Oryzias latipes: one gene and its partner. The protein of the gene in region 2 binds, or shares a complex with, the protein of the main gene of each other region. Links are inferred from orthologs where the notes say so. Each region holds a gene or a part of one and is shown on either strand. Other genes may lie near its edges. The genes, in order: ORM1-like protein 3 and sptlc1.

Region 1 (7,811 bases), on a different chromosome or scaffold from region 2:
TTAAGCATTCAAGCAGGTTTTTAGGAATAAAACAGAAGTTTTCTTACATTTAGTTAAAGTAGACTTTATCCTATGAAAATGTCAATTAGGGATGCACCAATCACTTTTGGGGGTGGAATTGATCAATTGTCCTTTTTCAGAGAGAGGTGAGCTGCAGATAAAGCTCTTTAACAAAAATAAATTTAGTTTATAAATTATTTACTGATGGCAGATACCCCATAACTTAGAATAAACTCATCAAAGTGACTTAAATTGCTGTTATTTTTTTAAATTACAAAAAAAAGTAGCATTTTAATGCAGTTTGATCAAATACGCCATTTTCCCCCAGTCTCTGATTTAAGGGGTGAGTCAGTGGGATTTAAAATTGTTGCGTTAAAAGCGTCGTAATATTTGGTTGCAGAAATATCTCTGTAGAAATGAAGCCATGGTTCAGAGGAGGCATTAATAGTGGACAGCTTTATGGTCTCTGCCAAGCTTAAACAGCAGCTTATGGGACTTTACAACAAACAGAGTTGAGGGGACCATCTTTAAAGTGTGCAGAGTCTGTAAACATCTATGTTTGTACGGTCTGTGCCCACAGATTCAAAGCAGATGTGAACATCACTCACTGCAAAAATATTCCAGGTTGTCATGTGGATATTTAACGATGACCTTTCCTCTTTTCCTGCCTGATTTAGGAAAAACTTTTCTCTTTGGTCACAAAAACATCCTATGGAGTAATTGTAACGCAGGAAGCAGCTGAGTAGGAACAACGACGGGAAGATTTATGAAAGAATCGAACCGTGATGGAATCAGCTCACTTCCTTCATGGATTACCCGTCAGATTATAAAAGCATATTGACCGTAATGCAGTGGCATAAAGCCCTCTGTTGATGCTGGGTTCATAGGCATGTCTAAACTGGACACATCAAGAACGTCAACCAAGGGATTTAAAAAAAGCAAGAGCTAAGGTTGAAGTGGGTTGGGCACATGAACCAGAGTTTGCTCCACCCACCTCAGCTTCAATCCAGGATATGGCGGTTTAAAAAAAAAGTCTTCTCCATTAATCACAAATAGATAATAAAGCAATCAAGACTGAGAACTATTTATTTTTCAAGAGCTGCAAGATTTGTTTTTTGTTTTAATTTGCAAACAGTGGGAAGTGATTTATTAGGATAAGGAGTGACAAAGTGGCCATAACTCCCAATAAACGGATCAGAAATAAAAAAAATAAAAATAGAGTTTGAAATTGGTGAATCTCTAATGAGAGATTTAGAAAATAAAATTACATTTATTAATCCTAAATAACAAAACATGATTGGTAGTGATTTCTGAACACATCTATTGTTCAGTTTATTGCTGAGCAGTTTGGAAATCTTTTCAGTCAAGAACTTTTTCCCTCACATTCTTAACAAGAGCCAGACTATTTTGCAAACAGGTCAAAGAAGGACAAGATGTCCCAATATGGAAACGGGCACATAATTGCAAGAGTTGGGTAAGGTTTTATTCCTGACCCTGAGCAGAGAAAGCTAAATATAAACCGCTGTGGTTCGTGGAGTCTGGCCTCTGTGGCGGTTCGCAGCTCCCTGATCATTTCAAACGTTACTGCTCTCCTTCCTTCAATCCCAAACCCAGGAGCCAGCTGCACATAGGAAGGAAGCTGAATAAATAAAATAAGAATACAACTACAGTCGCCCACCTTTGATACTGTTAATCTAAGATAAATTCCCTTTCAATTAAAAAACAAACATGCAGGCGAATCCAAGATTACAGATCAGAGTCATGAAACTTCCCTGTTTGCTTCTGTGCAGTACAGTGTCTCTAGCGAGGGTTAGGAACCATGGCAGAATCCTCCTGGGAGTTCCTTCAGAGAGCTGTGTTCCAGAAGACTGCAGAAGGAACTGCGAGTGCTCTTTGCTGTACCAGGAAAAAAGTGAAGAGGAGTCCGTCTCCATTCTGTCAGTATTTGTTAATCCCAAAAATTCTGACGCCGTGGAGCTGCGGCAGCTTAGGGATGAGCACAGTGAGCAAGGAAACGGTGTTGACCACAAAATGGACTCGGTCGTATTTCGTGTAGAAGCTGGTTAACAAATACCTGCATCAGAGGTAAAGAAAAGAGAAGGAGAATAAAATGTTAAGACAGGTTATCCTCTTTAGGGAAAATACCCATTAACGTCCCTTTAGAGCTTTTCCTTCTCACAAAAACCACAAACAAGATCAAACCATCATCCCACACAATCCTTATATGTTTGAGTACAAACACAGGAGGTGAATATTTCTGAGCTGACATGTGAGAACACGTTTCAAAATCAGTCAATCCAAATGAAGTTCAGGGGAAACACTGCCGTCACAGCTTTTACTCTCAACTGGCAAATGAACCCCAGAGAAGTAAAGACCCGTCTGTAACCTGAACTCTGGGTTAATAAAAAAACAAGCCAGGAAAGCAGGGGGAGGTGTTCCCGAAAACCATGAGGCCCCTAACAAGTTCGAAGGCTTGTGAGGAAAATAAGAGAAAAGCTGTGATTGTGAGCATATTTGTAAATGTAAACCTGAAACTAAAAGCTTAAAAGGAGCTCGGGTTCCATTTCAAACAAACTCCTGTGGTTCTACTTTCAACCTTAAAGCTACATACACATGCGCTCAAGAACGTGCTTCACACTGGACACACTGGGAAAGGCTTCTTCTTTTTCCACATTTACTAGCGCATGTCCGCCAACTAAAGTTGGAAGAGGCTTGGTGCAAAATGTCAAGGTGGTGTAAATCTTGCGATTTGGGCATTGAATGATTTGGTTTATTGCTAGCGTAATTGCAAAACAGATATGCGAGAGTGGCCTTGGTCTATCTTTATTTGAAATCAAATCAGACCAGATAAACCGCCTACACTCCAAGTTTGGTGAGTTTCATCGCGCTTCCGGCAGTTTTTCCGTCAATCCTGGGCCACCAATACGCCACTACCAAATCCAAGTCCCTGATTGGTCAAAGTACAAACTGGTTTAACTTACAATGTGTGTTCAATGGGGACTTGTTTTATACATAGAGCCCGAAAACGGTCGTAAAAGCTTGCGTAGCTTCGCCGGAATGCAAGAAAGCCGTGAAATGCGCGTTTACAAAAGACTTATTAGGAAGTGGCCACTTGAACATGCATTGCCTAGGGCGGTGTGAACATTGCTTAAAAACGAGACGCGTTCTCAAACTACTTACAAGACAATAGGTGTGACAGTGAGGAACTTGCGGGACGCAGTGAACTGCACACCGTAGTCCATCTGCTCCCAGTGTGTGAGGAGGCGAGCTTTGCCCTGATCTGGCGTCTGGAAGGGCGTCCCTTTGACTGTGTGAAGGAGCAGATACATGCACTGCAAAAGAGAAAAAAAACCACAAAGTTAACTTTCATGTCCTACTCAAAAAAATGCCAGTTTTGGCTTCTATGGTAGATATTTTTGGCTTCACTCACCAGATTGTGGATCATGTTGGTGAGGGTCCAGACAACTGGGACGCTGACAAAAGGGATGCTGAGAAGGATGAGATGAAGGAGGCCGATGCTAAGAGTGTAGGAAAGCCACATGCCCCTGCTGTTCATCACCCGGGTGTTCGGGTTCACCTCGCTGTGTGCCGTCCCCACGTTCATGATGCCAATACTGCTGCTACCCAGCCGTAGACTTTTTAGCCAGATACTAGTTCACAGGAGAAAAACAAAGACGTTCACGGATCTGTTTGTCTGCAAGCGAATGCATCGGAATGGAGCGGAGCAGGGAGCTTGTGGCTTGTCTTTTGTTTTTTCAAACAGTATTTTTCGTCTGCATCTGATTGGTACCGATTTAAATCAAGAAATATTCAGAAATGTAAGTTTAATCTTAATTTTCTTTAATATATATGTCCTCCACCATGAGAAAAATGCTACCAGAACATGTTTGAAACACGATTTTTTGATTTTTTCTTTTAAAAAATCCCAGCAAAACATTAAAGAAAACAGCTAATATTAATGTCGAAAAGCTTTAAGAATAAAAACAAAATAAAAATGTCCAACTAGTGCACCCTAGCCAGCCACCTGCAAAAATTACCTGTTTTTTTGTTCGCAAAAAACACAAATAGAAAGATAGAAAATTTATACACTAAATATTTAAATTATATATATAATATTTAAAAAATAAAGCAGTAAAAAAGAGAATATATATGCCGCTAAAAACTGCAAATATTTAATAAACAAGGTGGTAGAACGTTATTCACTAACTTGTCCAAACTCGAGACAAAATGAACTGCAATAAAACCTCTAAAGAAGCGAACTTAAAGTATGTCCATTTATGCAAATTATAGCTGAGAAAAATTAAGGTGTAAGTTGATGTTTTTAACTCGTACCTGAGGACAACAGTCCGTTATCTCAGCTTGTGTAAAGCGATCCGCTAGTTGTGTAACCGGTGCACGCGCTGGTCCACTGCCGTCGTTAACGCCATCTTCCCGTCCCTGCTTTGGTGGTCATACTGTAACCGTCCGCTCACTGGGACGCAAGCTACCGAGACTGCTTCAACTTTTACTCGCTCCTCTAGCCAACAGCTGGTGAAAACACCGCACACGCCACAAAGAAACGTCAGCGATATCCACTTTCATTGCCACAGTTTTTGATCGCATTTTGCTGCTATTGGCTGTAAAAGGTCATGTGATAAAAACTAGCCTGCCACGGGCTGAGCTGATGAAAGAAGTAAACCACGCCCCCTGCGTCATAGAGGAGGAGGCGCTTAACAAAATGATTGACATTTAGAAGCAGCTTTAACAAACAAACAGATCGTTCATTAAAGTAGGGAAGTTTTTAAATAAAAAGGAATTTTTCAAATTAGATTTTTTTTTTGAAACACAGATAAAAAACAAAAAACTAGTAAAAAAGTAAAGTACAGGCATGAAACAGAGCAACTTTTATTTTATTTCCAGTAATGGAAAACATGAACACTTTAATTTAGTCTAAAAGAAGGTCTAAATAAGCTGTGAAAAAATAAAAAAAAAGTCAAAGCAACCAATGAAAAAAAGAAAAAAAATCCATTGACTTATTTTCTGTAAGTTATTTGGCTCCACAACTCCTCATAAACACTGGACACTTATCTTTTATTGTCATTTTGATTTGATTTTAAATGGTTTATTTCAAGCAATCAAATAAGACTAATACACAGAAGCAATAAAATAATTTATTGTTTAGTATTTATTATTATTTGCTTTTTTAGGAGCTATGGAAAATAATCAAATCAACGTTCATGTTGTCTGATTAATAAAGTTTTTTTTTTATATGGCCCAGTTTAGTTAGTCTGTTTAGTTTAGTTAACCATTACCTATTAAGCTGTATGACTTCATGTTCTTTATGATTTTATGTTTATCAGAAAGCCCAATGAGATTACTTTTGTTGTAATGTTGGGATATATAAATAAAAATTAAATTGAATTTATTAATATGTTTGCATAAAATGCCATAACTGAATGAGATGCAATTTCTTTCACCTGATATTTTTAAATTCTTTTAGTACTTGAGTTCAGAATTGTGGCTGCGTTGTTGGAAGCCCATTCAACGTCTAAAATGAAGTGGATGTGGGCTGAAATATGTGAACCTTGTTTACTAGGTTTCACTCACTAAGAAATGTCAAACTATTAAAGACAATCATCTCCACCAGTAAGAGATTTTTGTTAGCATACGAGAAAACAAACACGACAATGTGGAAGTCATATTAGGACTCCTGAGCCTCATTTTCTCCTATGAGCTGGAGATGGGAGGGGTGGTCAGGCCACAACCTACTTTTAACTGGAAGCCTAATGGTCTACTCTGTTTCAAACACTGAGACTGTGTACTTTTTCTTTCAGTCAGATTAAATGAAAGACAGAAGGCTCAAATTTACAATTACCTTTATTCGTATGAATCCTGAGAGGGACTTGAGGCGGGGGTGCCCAAAGCTGCTCTGGTTATGATGACGTAAATTTAAGATGAACTTTCCTAAGACTTCAGACCGTTTAGTGACGCAGTGTCTGTGTGGAGTTGAAAAGGAGGTGGATTTTTTCCCCTGTTCTGCAATAAATGAGTGTAAAGAAAGAGAAGATTTTTAAAATTGACAGCTCATTTATGATTGGGCAAGAGGGTGGGTCAAGATATGGTTTGATAGAAGTTGATAAATGATGAAAAACAGATCATTTATAATGAATATCCAAGAGATGAACTTCTGCTGAACTTTGTTTTGTAAGATCTAACAGTTTATATTGAGTCACTGAACTGAATTAATCTCTTTTATAACACATTCACTATGGAAAACGCAGTTTTCTCAGACGCCTGATAGAGATTAGCTCTGTCAAGGTATCAAGCGTTTGTCTTCCTTTTGAAAAATTAAGGTTATCAAAACTAGACACAGTCACTGTTGCCCTATAGATGACTTTGTTGAAAGATGTAACAACTTTATAGACCCCTCCAACAACCATTTTTCAGAAAAGCAAAGAACCTTGTCAGGAATTTGAGTGATAGGTGATCGGTGAGCCTCATGGTCCAAAATTAACTTGCGGATATGTTTTATTGATATATTTTTGAAAATAGTTTAGTGTTCAGCCAAACCTGGTGGCAACAAACAGAGAGCTTTTGCGTATATGTGCGTTTTGGCTTCCGCATTCAAAACTCTTGCATTTATGCATTGCTGCACAAGTTTTATGTTCATTTTTTTGGGCTCTACCTACAAACCGTGTGGCCACTGAATGCCAATAGAAAATTAAACTAGTTAAACTTTGACCAATAAAGGATGTGGATTTGGTTGTGATGTATGGGTTGCATCCCTTTCAGTTAAAGTGATTGCCAACCATTTGAACGTTGATCATGGAGGAGTAATTAACAATTACAGTTTGTGCCCAGGCGCAATATATGACACCAATTCTTTCATATATAAAAACTGGAGCAAGATTTGCACCACTTTGACATTTTTGTCAAGTCTGTAGGTACCTGAGCTAGTATCGGGTAGTGACAGTCCAGTGTGAACACCATATGCATGTCAAATGCCTGGTGTGTACATAGTATTGCTAACTCGTGTTATTTCAGTGTTTGCTTCCACTTGTTCGCCCACAGCATGCCTGTAGAAAATAATGTGCATGGACATTTTCGCTTTACAGGATCACCGAGGGATATTCGACTTTGATATCTCCCGCAGGCCATCTGTGTGCCCCATATAGGTTTGCCCGTTTTTCAACCGCAGACAGCCCGTATCCACCCGTAAAGGCAGTTGTGACTAAGGCCATACCTGCTGTCAATCTCTTGCTGTTAGCACAAATGCTAAATCTTGCCAGGCGCTACAAACAACATTTTTCTCACTGAGGACATAAACCACTAACTCTACTACTGCATCAAACTGAGCAGGACCTCAATGCTCCTGCAACAGGACGCTCCTGGCTAAACATGCAGCTACAGACAGAGCAGCTCCTGCTAGAGGCACTAACTCACTATGCTCCCCAAATCAGAGATCAACAGTGTCATGTTTGACATCACAAGATAAGTTTAAATAGTAATTAAGGCCCACAGGCCCACTTGCATGAAATGTTACACGACATGGACTGTTTCTAAAGGTACGTCTGCGTACCGTGGCATCAAATAGCTTTAGCTTCTTGACAGTGGACTTGTATGTTCATAGCCTTAGGAGTAATACCTGTGTAAACTTAGATCTTTGTTAGGAGCAAACTGGGGATGACAGAGGAGTGAGGTCATTTGTAGGAGTGAACTAAACACCATGAATCGAAACTTCAAAAGGGGAAAAATGGATTAAAAAAAATGGGATAAATAAATTTAAAAAATTCAGTTAAACAAAATCATTTCATTATTGTTCTTTTTTTTCC
Region 2 (8,072 bases):
GTGTGCAGAGTAAATCATCAGTGTAGCAAACTGAGCTGGAATATATCTGTTTCTTCTGCACTTTTTCTACTGTCAGGCCTGGTCTGTTCATATTTGAAATGTTGGATTTTTATTGAATGACATTATTATTTTTGGTTCTTTTGTTGTGGGCTTTGAAAAAGATTTACCTTTAAAAAGAACTTAAAAGGATACGGAGAGAAACATACTTTATTTATTTATTTAAATAAGAAAAAAACACCACTGATGTGTCTATTATTTCAAATTTAATTTCTCATATATTTGTAATATCAAGCTTTGGTTGTTCCAGATTCTGTGTTTAAGCACAACGTAAGTTGGAGTTCATTTTCAATAAATACTGAATATTGCTTCATTTTGGCCCACTGTAAATCTGAGTTTGACACCCCTGGTGTAGCTCTTCAACCTGCAACCGAACAAGCTGCAGTGCCCCCCTCCAGTCCACTGGGTGACACCGCTTTGCCATGTGACGAAGAGGAAGAGGATGCTCCATTAGAGACTGTAACGTAGATCAGATCTTTGAGCATGGGGGCTGCACACTAACCCTTATCCCCCACAACACCCCCAGGTCGGGCTCTGGCTCCAGACCTGGACTGGACTGACGCCGCAAAAACAGAGAAACCCCTCCACAAACTGAGGGACTCAGAAATCTAATTATTTTATTCTGTGTTTGTCTGTCAGTTAAGACCAGAAAGGTCTGAACTTCCCTGTCAATCAAATGATGAATCGTTCACCTTTTGACAGTCAGAAGTTATTTTTAAAGACCCACTCAGATAAAAGTGGTGCTTTTGGTGTTTTTTTAAGTTTTCTGATACTGCTGCCATTTTTGCTGCACCACTACTCTTAGGTTGGGAGCGTGAGAGGCTGTAAGCTAGCCGGAGAGCATGTTAACAGGTGGATGATTGGAAGTGCGGATGGGCTTACTCCAAACCAAGAGTCGCAAACAGAAACTATGGCGAATTCCCACCCTAACCACTAAAAACTATATAGTGCGGCTCTATGTAGTGCCCTGGATTTTAATAGCAATTCGGACACCATGTTTACTACTTTTTTATTAAACCGTTGATATGACGTCATCAATTTCACAAAGTTAAAATCTAATGAACATGAGCGTTTTGTGACGATTATTTATGAGTCCACTGTCTTCTGAAGATAAAAACGTTGATGGTTTATAAAAAAATACGTTTAAATACATTTTCTTGGTAAAAATTGCTCCGATGCAATGCATTGTGGTCTGAATTCTAGTGAGCATCAATGCACACTGGTTTTTCGCAAAGACTTCTGGGAAATTTCTAGACACAAAATTTTGGAATTGTAGATTCAGACAGCTCTAGAAAACGGTAAACGAACTATAAATACTATATAGTATATATAGTTTATAGTGAGTAGGGAAGGAATTCGTACATAACGTAGGTCCTCGAAAACAACATGTTTTCTTTTTTTGGGGGGGGCAAAAAACGGTATATTAATAATAAAAAAGCACTGGGGACGCTTTGACAACAGATCAAACGATGATGGGGGTGGGACTATGAGAATCTGCTTTCTCCTGCAGAACCAAACAGCTCCTCCTGCTGCCTCCCCCTCTCTGGAGAAACAGGTGATGTTACTGCCTGATCTGCCGTCACCAGAACCGTCACCGCGTGAGGCAGACTGCAGGAACCGCACACTCACCGAAGGTCCCGTAGAAGCCTCTGGGGCCACACGTGCCCACGCCGTACTTTTTCAGGGATGCCAAAGCCTTGTCCTGAAACGAGTCAGGGGGGGAAAAAAAATCATTCCAACGTTCCCATCGGGGGGCAGAAGCTTCAGCAAAGTTCGGACCTTTACACGGTCGCTGTCCAGGAGGCCCAGGAAGTTAAAAGATGCAAAGTTGGTGCACTCTTTGCCATTAATGATGATTTTGTGGCTGGGGGGTCTGCAATAAAAATATGACAATTTGACTGTCAATGGTAACATATTCAGTTTAATGCTGCAGGCATGGAAACCCTTAAAACCCTGAGATGATTGAGGAGAACATTCAAAGACATGAACTCTGTACAATGTGGCACGTGGATCTCCTCTGGATCTCCTCAGAGTTTCTGAGGGAATCAGCGGGCGCCGTTTGTGGGACGCTGAATATCTGGAACAGGACCGTGGATCTTCTACTTCAGGGTTTTCTCAGAGAAAGCTGGAGAGCTGCTAGGGCCGAATCTGAATTCTTCCCCTATCCCTCCAACGGTAAGGGGCATTTGGAGTAATGACTGTAAGTAAGGCCCTTTTGTTTTTGCATGGCTTTTCCGGGCACTGGAAGCTACTTGCTAATGCGGGTGACCGGCGACTATTGATGACATCATCGAGTGGGAGTGACGTCTGAATTAGAAGACGTTGTTTTTGAATAACTCTCCGTTTGGTACTCCGTTTGTAGGGGGTGGGGAGAAGCCGTAGCGGTAGAGGAAGAATTCGGATTCGGCCTAATTCTCTCCTACATGAGCCTGAACGAGACACGGAGCGGAAACATCTCAGTCCAGACCGTGCACATCTCTGTGCACATCTCTGTGAGATCCAGCAATGATGGAGGCCAGCACAGAGGAAAAGCTTCAGCAAGAAAAGGGGTGTGGTCGGACATCGGCAGCTGGGATTGGTCGGCTTGATGTGCTGCACTTTTAAGTCAGGTCTGAGGACAGCTGCTACAGGCGCGAGGAATCCGAACATGCACGTTCAAAGGCAGCACGTGCACACGCGGCATTATTAAGGCGAACAAAAAGACGCACAGAGCGTGATGTGAAGCTGCTTCTGCCTGGATTTGGAGCTTGGTGAGGCTCTGGAAACGTGTGCAGAGAAGACAGATCCAACGACAGGAACACACTTCACATCTGCTGGTTTGATGCCGCAGGAGGGCTCTGGACCTGCTGATGCATGTGTAGCGAGCGCAGCGGAGGAGCGCCCCCTGGAGTTTTTACCCTGTGACCACGTCGTAGTTGAGCGAAGGGTGATCTTTGGAAACTGGAGGAACCAGAGGCTCCGGCTGCCATTCCTCGATCAGATCTTCTTTTTCCTGAAAACACAGAGGATGTCAGCCACCCGCAAACTCAGGATCTGTGGTGGAGCGTGCGCACAGGCGAGGCTACCTTCTCGGTGAGTTTGTAGGTCTCGTGCGGTTTGTAGGTCTTGGAGAAAAAAAGGAGTCTGACGATCCACAGGATCAGGATCCCCTCTAGAATCAGGTGATACGCAGGAGCCTGGAGCCCAGAGAGCAGAGGATGAAGGACCCCAGCAGAGGAGCACACCACCTATGAACACCTGAACACCTTTCTGGAATAATGGTCAGCAGTCGTGGCCGACTGGATCGGACCCGGAAATGATTCAGCCTAACTGAGGAGTGAGTGGGCGGAGCCTCTGATCTGACCTCCTTCAGCTCCTAAAAGGAAACTGAGCATAAACATTGTAACATTTATTCTGAGGCAAGATTTTCTGTGTTCAAGCTCTGAACCATCGGATTGATTGGCTTTTATGTGATGGTAACATTATTTTAATCCTGCTTCATCGGTTAACCGGTTACTCCATGTCTCCCCAGGTGTGAATGCGTGAGTGACCGGCAGCAGACTGGCGACCTGTGGGGGGTGTGAACCCCGCCTTCACCCAACAGAAGCTGGGACAATGGTCGGATGAAATAATTGATCTTTCAGATCAAATCCTAATGAACGCTGCTCTCATATTTAATTAAAGCTGTTTCAGCAGCAATTTTATTATGTTGGGGGGGGAATCTACACACAACCCTTAGCAAAAAGTAGTATACTTTATTTTACGGAGTATCCATGAGTACAAGTGTAGCAGGTAGAGACTATAGACCATGAACGTGTAGTGTAGTAGGAATACTTACTGCATACTGATACTTGTAGTATACTGCCTCACTTTAGGTATAGACCTAGTATAATTGTAGTACCTGTGTTGTTTTCTACGACATAGTTTCTGCAGGGCGGCAGGAGTTCATTAGAAATTCACCTCCGAGTTGTGGCCAGAACTGCCCTTCACAACCCCAACCCAACATTAGAGGTGCAACACAAATGGGCAGTAATATTGGTGTGTAGAAGGATGACTGAGGTAGTAGTACACGCCATTTACCACCCAGAAGCTTTTTCAAACTGTGCATTTCTTCTGCTCCACGGTCACGACGATTCGAGAAAACTTTCAGCTGCGCTGATTAAAGCTGTAGAAGGACACGGACCATAACAAGGCCTGCAGACATAACAGCGAAGAGAACTTATAAACTCTATTAAAACCAGGACGGCTGTCAATCGGGCAACAGAAAAACGAATACCAACCTTGGACGGTGGTCAGAATATGGACCCTTATTATTACCTTATAATTATAATTAAAAAAAAAAAACTTAATCAATTATTGGAGATGATTAAAGTGATTGATCTCTAATTATATCACTTCACTTGCTCCAACAATTGATTCAGCATTTTTTTCTAATGAAAAATAATCTGCACATGTATTTTTAAGTTTTGATACTTGATCTGGATTTGCTATGAAGATTTCTGAAACAGTGTTTCTGTCTGTTATTTTTAATTATAGTCATGATTTCTCAGTAAACATAATCTGCACATATGTTAGATAACTGGCCTGCATGTGCTATGTTGATTTCTAAGATAGTTTTACGTAATAAGTAATTCGTCTTTGTCAGGTGCTTTATTGATTCTTCAGGATTCTTAAGTCTGTCTGATAAAAGTTATGAACCGGATAAACTAATAATCAAATTTTAATCTTAGTTTTCTAAATACATCATGAGACAAATGCGAAAAGGAAACGTTAAACACATTTTCATTGGAGTGGGTCTTTAGAAACAGTGACTCCACAGGCACAGTCCTGCTCCATCTATTGACCTGTTGCCATGGAGAATCACTGAGGATTTGTCTTCTGTCTCAGAGTAACTAATCTAACCCTGACCAGCCTCTCTGGTGCCTGACTGTTGATAAAACTGGGAGAAATTAATCTAAACAAAAACGACACTATCTTCACCCGGGATAGATGAACCCAAAGCGAGTTCACTCAAGTTAGGTTAACCCACCGAAAACAACTCATACTAACTAACTTAACTCAGAGGCACAGAAATGAGAGGGGTTGTTGTACACTTAAGGGTAACAGAGTCCCCCTCCACCCTTCCGCACGCGGAGCCCTGATGCTCCGCCCCCGGAGGACCCCCGGAGAACACCAGCCGCGCGCGCCCAAACATCGTTTCCTTAAGCTAGCAGTGAAGAACGGTCCAGGTGCTGAAGAAAGACCCCCCTCCCTCCCTCCCTCCCTACCGTCGGAGCGGGGGTCCCACCATACCTCGTAGAAGGCCTGAACCATCTCCACCAGCACCCACTGCTGCCCGGCCGCCATGACGCTTCCGCCTTCTGTGATGTCATCGTCATGCTGCGTTCAGGGTCCAGCTGGAATGTCAAACAATTCCCATCAAATCCTCGGTCATTTTAATGTACATTTAATTAGTTCCATTTTAGTTTGTTAAAATTCGGAATCCGACTTGTTTTGTTCAGCTGAACTGAATTTTTAAGCAGATTTGCACCTGCCGAAATTCACTTTAAAATCCAAAATACTGAAAGAATTAGAAGGTAAATTAGTGGGTTGCATGTAACCCTATTCTGATGAAAATGGTGTTTTTGGTGTTTTTAACATGTTTTTGTGGCATTTTTCTTATGACGGAGGACATCTGTTAAGAAAAGTTTTAAAGCTGAGCATTTCTTTATGCAAATTATTGTGAATCAGGAGCAGACAAGAAAATGCAGCTTGAAAAAGATCATATTTGTGATGTAGAAAATTCGCTTGGGGGCCACAAGCTCCCTGCTCTGCTCCATTCTGATTGGTCCACTTGCAGACAAACATATCCGTGTATGTCTTCATTTTCCTTTCGTAGCTGGCATCTGGCCCAAGACTGTATGACTGGATAGATCTGACATTGATCTCCATTTTTGTTGCACCTCTAATGTTAGGTTGGGGGTGGAACGGGCTGTAAGCTATCGGCAGAGGGTGTTAACAGAGAGCTCTCAGTAACAGGGATGGGGTTGCTCAGGGCCAACAGCCCCACCCACATCTGGAATACATCTCAACCACATCTCAAACTATATCCCAGAAAACGACACTGTTTTTTTTTTAAAATTTTGGCTAGAAATGACATCATCATGATTAAAAGACCACCGGGAACACTTTTACAACAGATCCAAAGATGATTGAAGTGGGACTTTAATGACAGCATTTCCTATCAAACAGCTAGGTGGCTCAGTTGGCTGGGTATAAGACCGGGTTGGCTTCCCAAATGGCACAATGAACCTCCCCCAGTGCGGGTCCTTGGGCGAGCACCTTCATGTTAATATTGCAGCCAAAGGTCTTTGTCCCCCTGTGCCGGTCCCCAGCCTGGATAAAATACAGTGTTCTGTCAGGAAAGACAACTGGAGTCTAAATCTTTGCTGTAACACCTGTACAAATCAGTAAAAGCTGATTAGCTGTGGTGACCCCTAAAGAGATATGCTGAAAAGGTTCACATATTTGACTTCAAACCATACACTAAGCATGTGTGGTGTCTTTGATCTGAAAGATGCTTTAACAGGTAACGTCCATATTTTGGTCCCTTTCGAAAGAATGAGTTGCAGCAGAATAAAATTGTTCCTTCTTGTTCCTGTAGGTGGAAAGTGATGGGCCAGCCCCAGTTCGCTCTGTTCAAACCTATGCCTGAATGGGAAAGAAGAAAAAAAAAATCAAATTCCTTTATTTTCACATCCTTTTTTATATATTTTTTCATACCTGGAGCAACGAACATGTCTCCAAGATAAGCCATTGTAAGTTTTCTCACAACAGTTCTATACAAACAAACAAGGTGCATGAAAAGACCGAGCCTTGAGCTGTGAGGTCGCAGGTCATGGCGGGCTGCCAACAAGCGGAAGGCGCGTCTGAACAGACATGTTTGGATGCATTTGCAGACATCAGATCTGAGTTTCTCCTCACAGGCCAGCGCAGTGCATGTGGCATGCATGTAAACTATATGATCGGGCAATAATCGCCGGCAGAGGCCGCTATCCAACATGGCAATCTGCTGTAGATGCTGAGAAGCACCAGCACCATCTGCTGAAGGAGGCTGGATCATCAAGACAGCCCTAAATAATCCATTCATTCATTTTCTTAACCCGCTATACAAAGAACAGTGGAAGACTTCGTTACCATTCAATATCCAGAAACAGTACTTAGAAAATGAAGGATGTAGGAACTTCAAGATCAAACTGATAAGAACCATAAAGAAAAGTTTCTGTGTGTCGGTGTGTGGCACTAAACTTTGGAACGGGTTCAGTAATGAGCTCAAACAATGTTCAGATATTCAAGAAAAAGGTATAAAGAAACTCTGATCTCATGATATAAAGATAAGTCGAGTTAAGGAATAATTCCAAATACATGAACTTGATGGTGGTGAAATAATCAAAGCTATTTTAATTACAACAGTAAAATTGTAAAATGAATTTACTCAGTAGGGGTGGGATTATATACGTTTGCTTCTTCCCGCTCCTTTTCAAGCAATAAATCAAGCTCTACTTGACTTTAGTTAATGATCACTGTATTTAATTAAGCAAACGTGATTTAAGTGACTTTTTGGTTTTGTTTTATTTTCTGTCTTTTTAATCTATGCATTTCATCATTTCTGTAATGACTTTGATAAATAAGTGTCAATTCTTTATTGCTTTGACTACAATGCTTGACATATATCAATAAATCAAAATCAAATCAAATCAAGACTCTTTCCAGTGACCTGACGTTGCCGCTGGCTATGCTGTTGTAGGCTTGTTGTTTGCTTTGTCACCAGCAGGGGGCAGTCTGAAACATCAGTATCCAACCTCAGTCACTGACAGAACACTGACTTTCAAATGAAGTCAGTTTTTACTTGTCTTATCTGTGATGTTTAGATCCTGCAGCGTTCACCGATCATCAGCCTCTAATTCCCACGTTCTAAGACTTACTGGAGGACAGCCGGCAAAGAAAACACTTTGGGCCAATAAATCCTAACGGGTTTTAAAGAGATTCTGAAGAAT

Evidence for each region.
Region 1: the proteins of sptlc1 (region 2) and ORM1-like protein 3 are in contact, whole or in part, in a cryo-EM structure (PDB 7K0N), measured with the Homo sapiens proteins. The link is inferred for Oryzias latipes from reciprocal best matches to the Homo sapiens genes SPTLC1 and ORMDL3. Residues at the interface, in NP_006406.1 of Homo sapiens: Ala16, Leu17, Ala20, Pro21, Tyr23, His24, Leu27, Glu28, Leu31, Ile32, Trp34, Ile35, Leu38, Leu39, Ser41, Lys42, Thr43, Tyr44, Lys45, Leu46, Gln47; in NP_001307730.1 of Homo sapiens: Gly92, Val93, Gln94, Phe95, Thr96, Ala97, Lys100, Thr103, Ile104, Ile107, Tyr110, Phe111, Ser114, Tyr119, Gln121, Phe124, Thr128, Leu131, Met132, Leu139, Pro140, His143.

Annotation. Positions count from the first base shown.
Region 1 is NC_019877.2:18,587,731-18,595,541, forward strand, and holds the start of ORM1-like protein 3, read right to left. Parts: upstream 4,640-7,811; 5' UTR 4,334-4,639; exon of another isoform or gene 4,333-4,333; intron 3,654-4,332; 5' UTR 3,605-3,653; coding exon 3,431-3,604; intron 3,333-3,430; coding exon 3,181-3,332; intron 2,075-3,180; coding exon 1,939-2,074; 3' UTR 1-1,938. UniProt on the Homo sapiens protein: Plays an essential role in the homeostatic regulation of sphingolipid de novo biosynthesis by modulating the activity of the serine palmitoyltransferase (SPT) in response to ceramide levels.
Region 2 is NC_019870.2:27,659,321-27,667,392, forward strand, and holds the start of sptlc1 (serine palmitoyltransferase 1), read right to left. Parts: upstream 5,432-8,072; 5' UTR 5,383-5,431; coding exon 5,329-5,382; intron 3,234-5,328; coding exon 3,123-3,233; intron 3,050-3,122; coding exon 2,955-3,049; intron 1,931-2,954; coding exon 1,837-1,930; intron 1,760-1,836; coding exon 1,687-1,759; intron 1-1,686. UniProt on the Homo sapiens protein: Component of the serine palmitoyltransferase multisubunit enzyme (SPT) that catalyzes the initial and rate-limiting step in sphingolipid biosynthesis by condensing L-serine and activated acyl-CoA (most commonly palmitoyl-CoA) to form long-chain bases.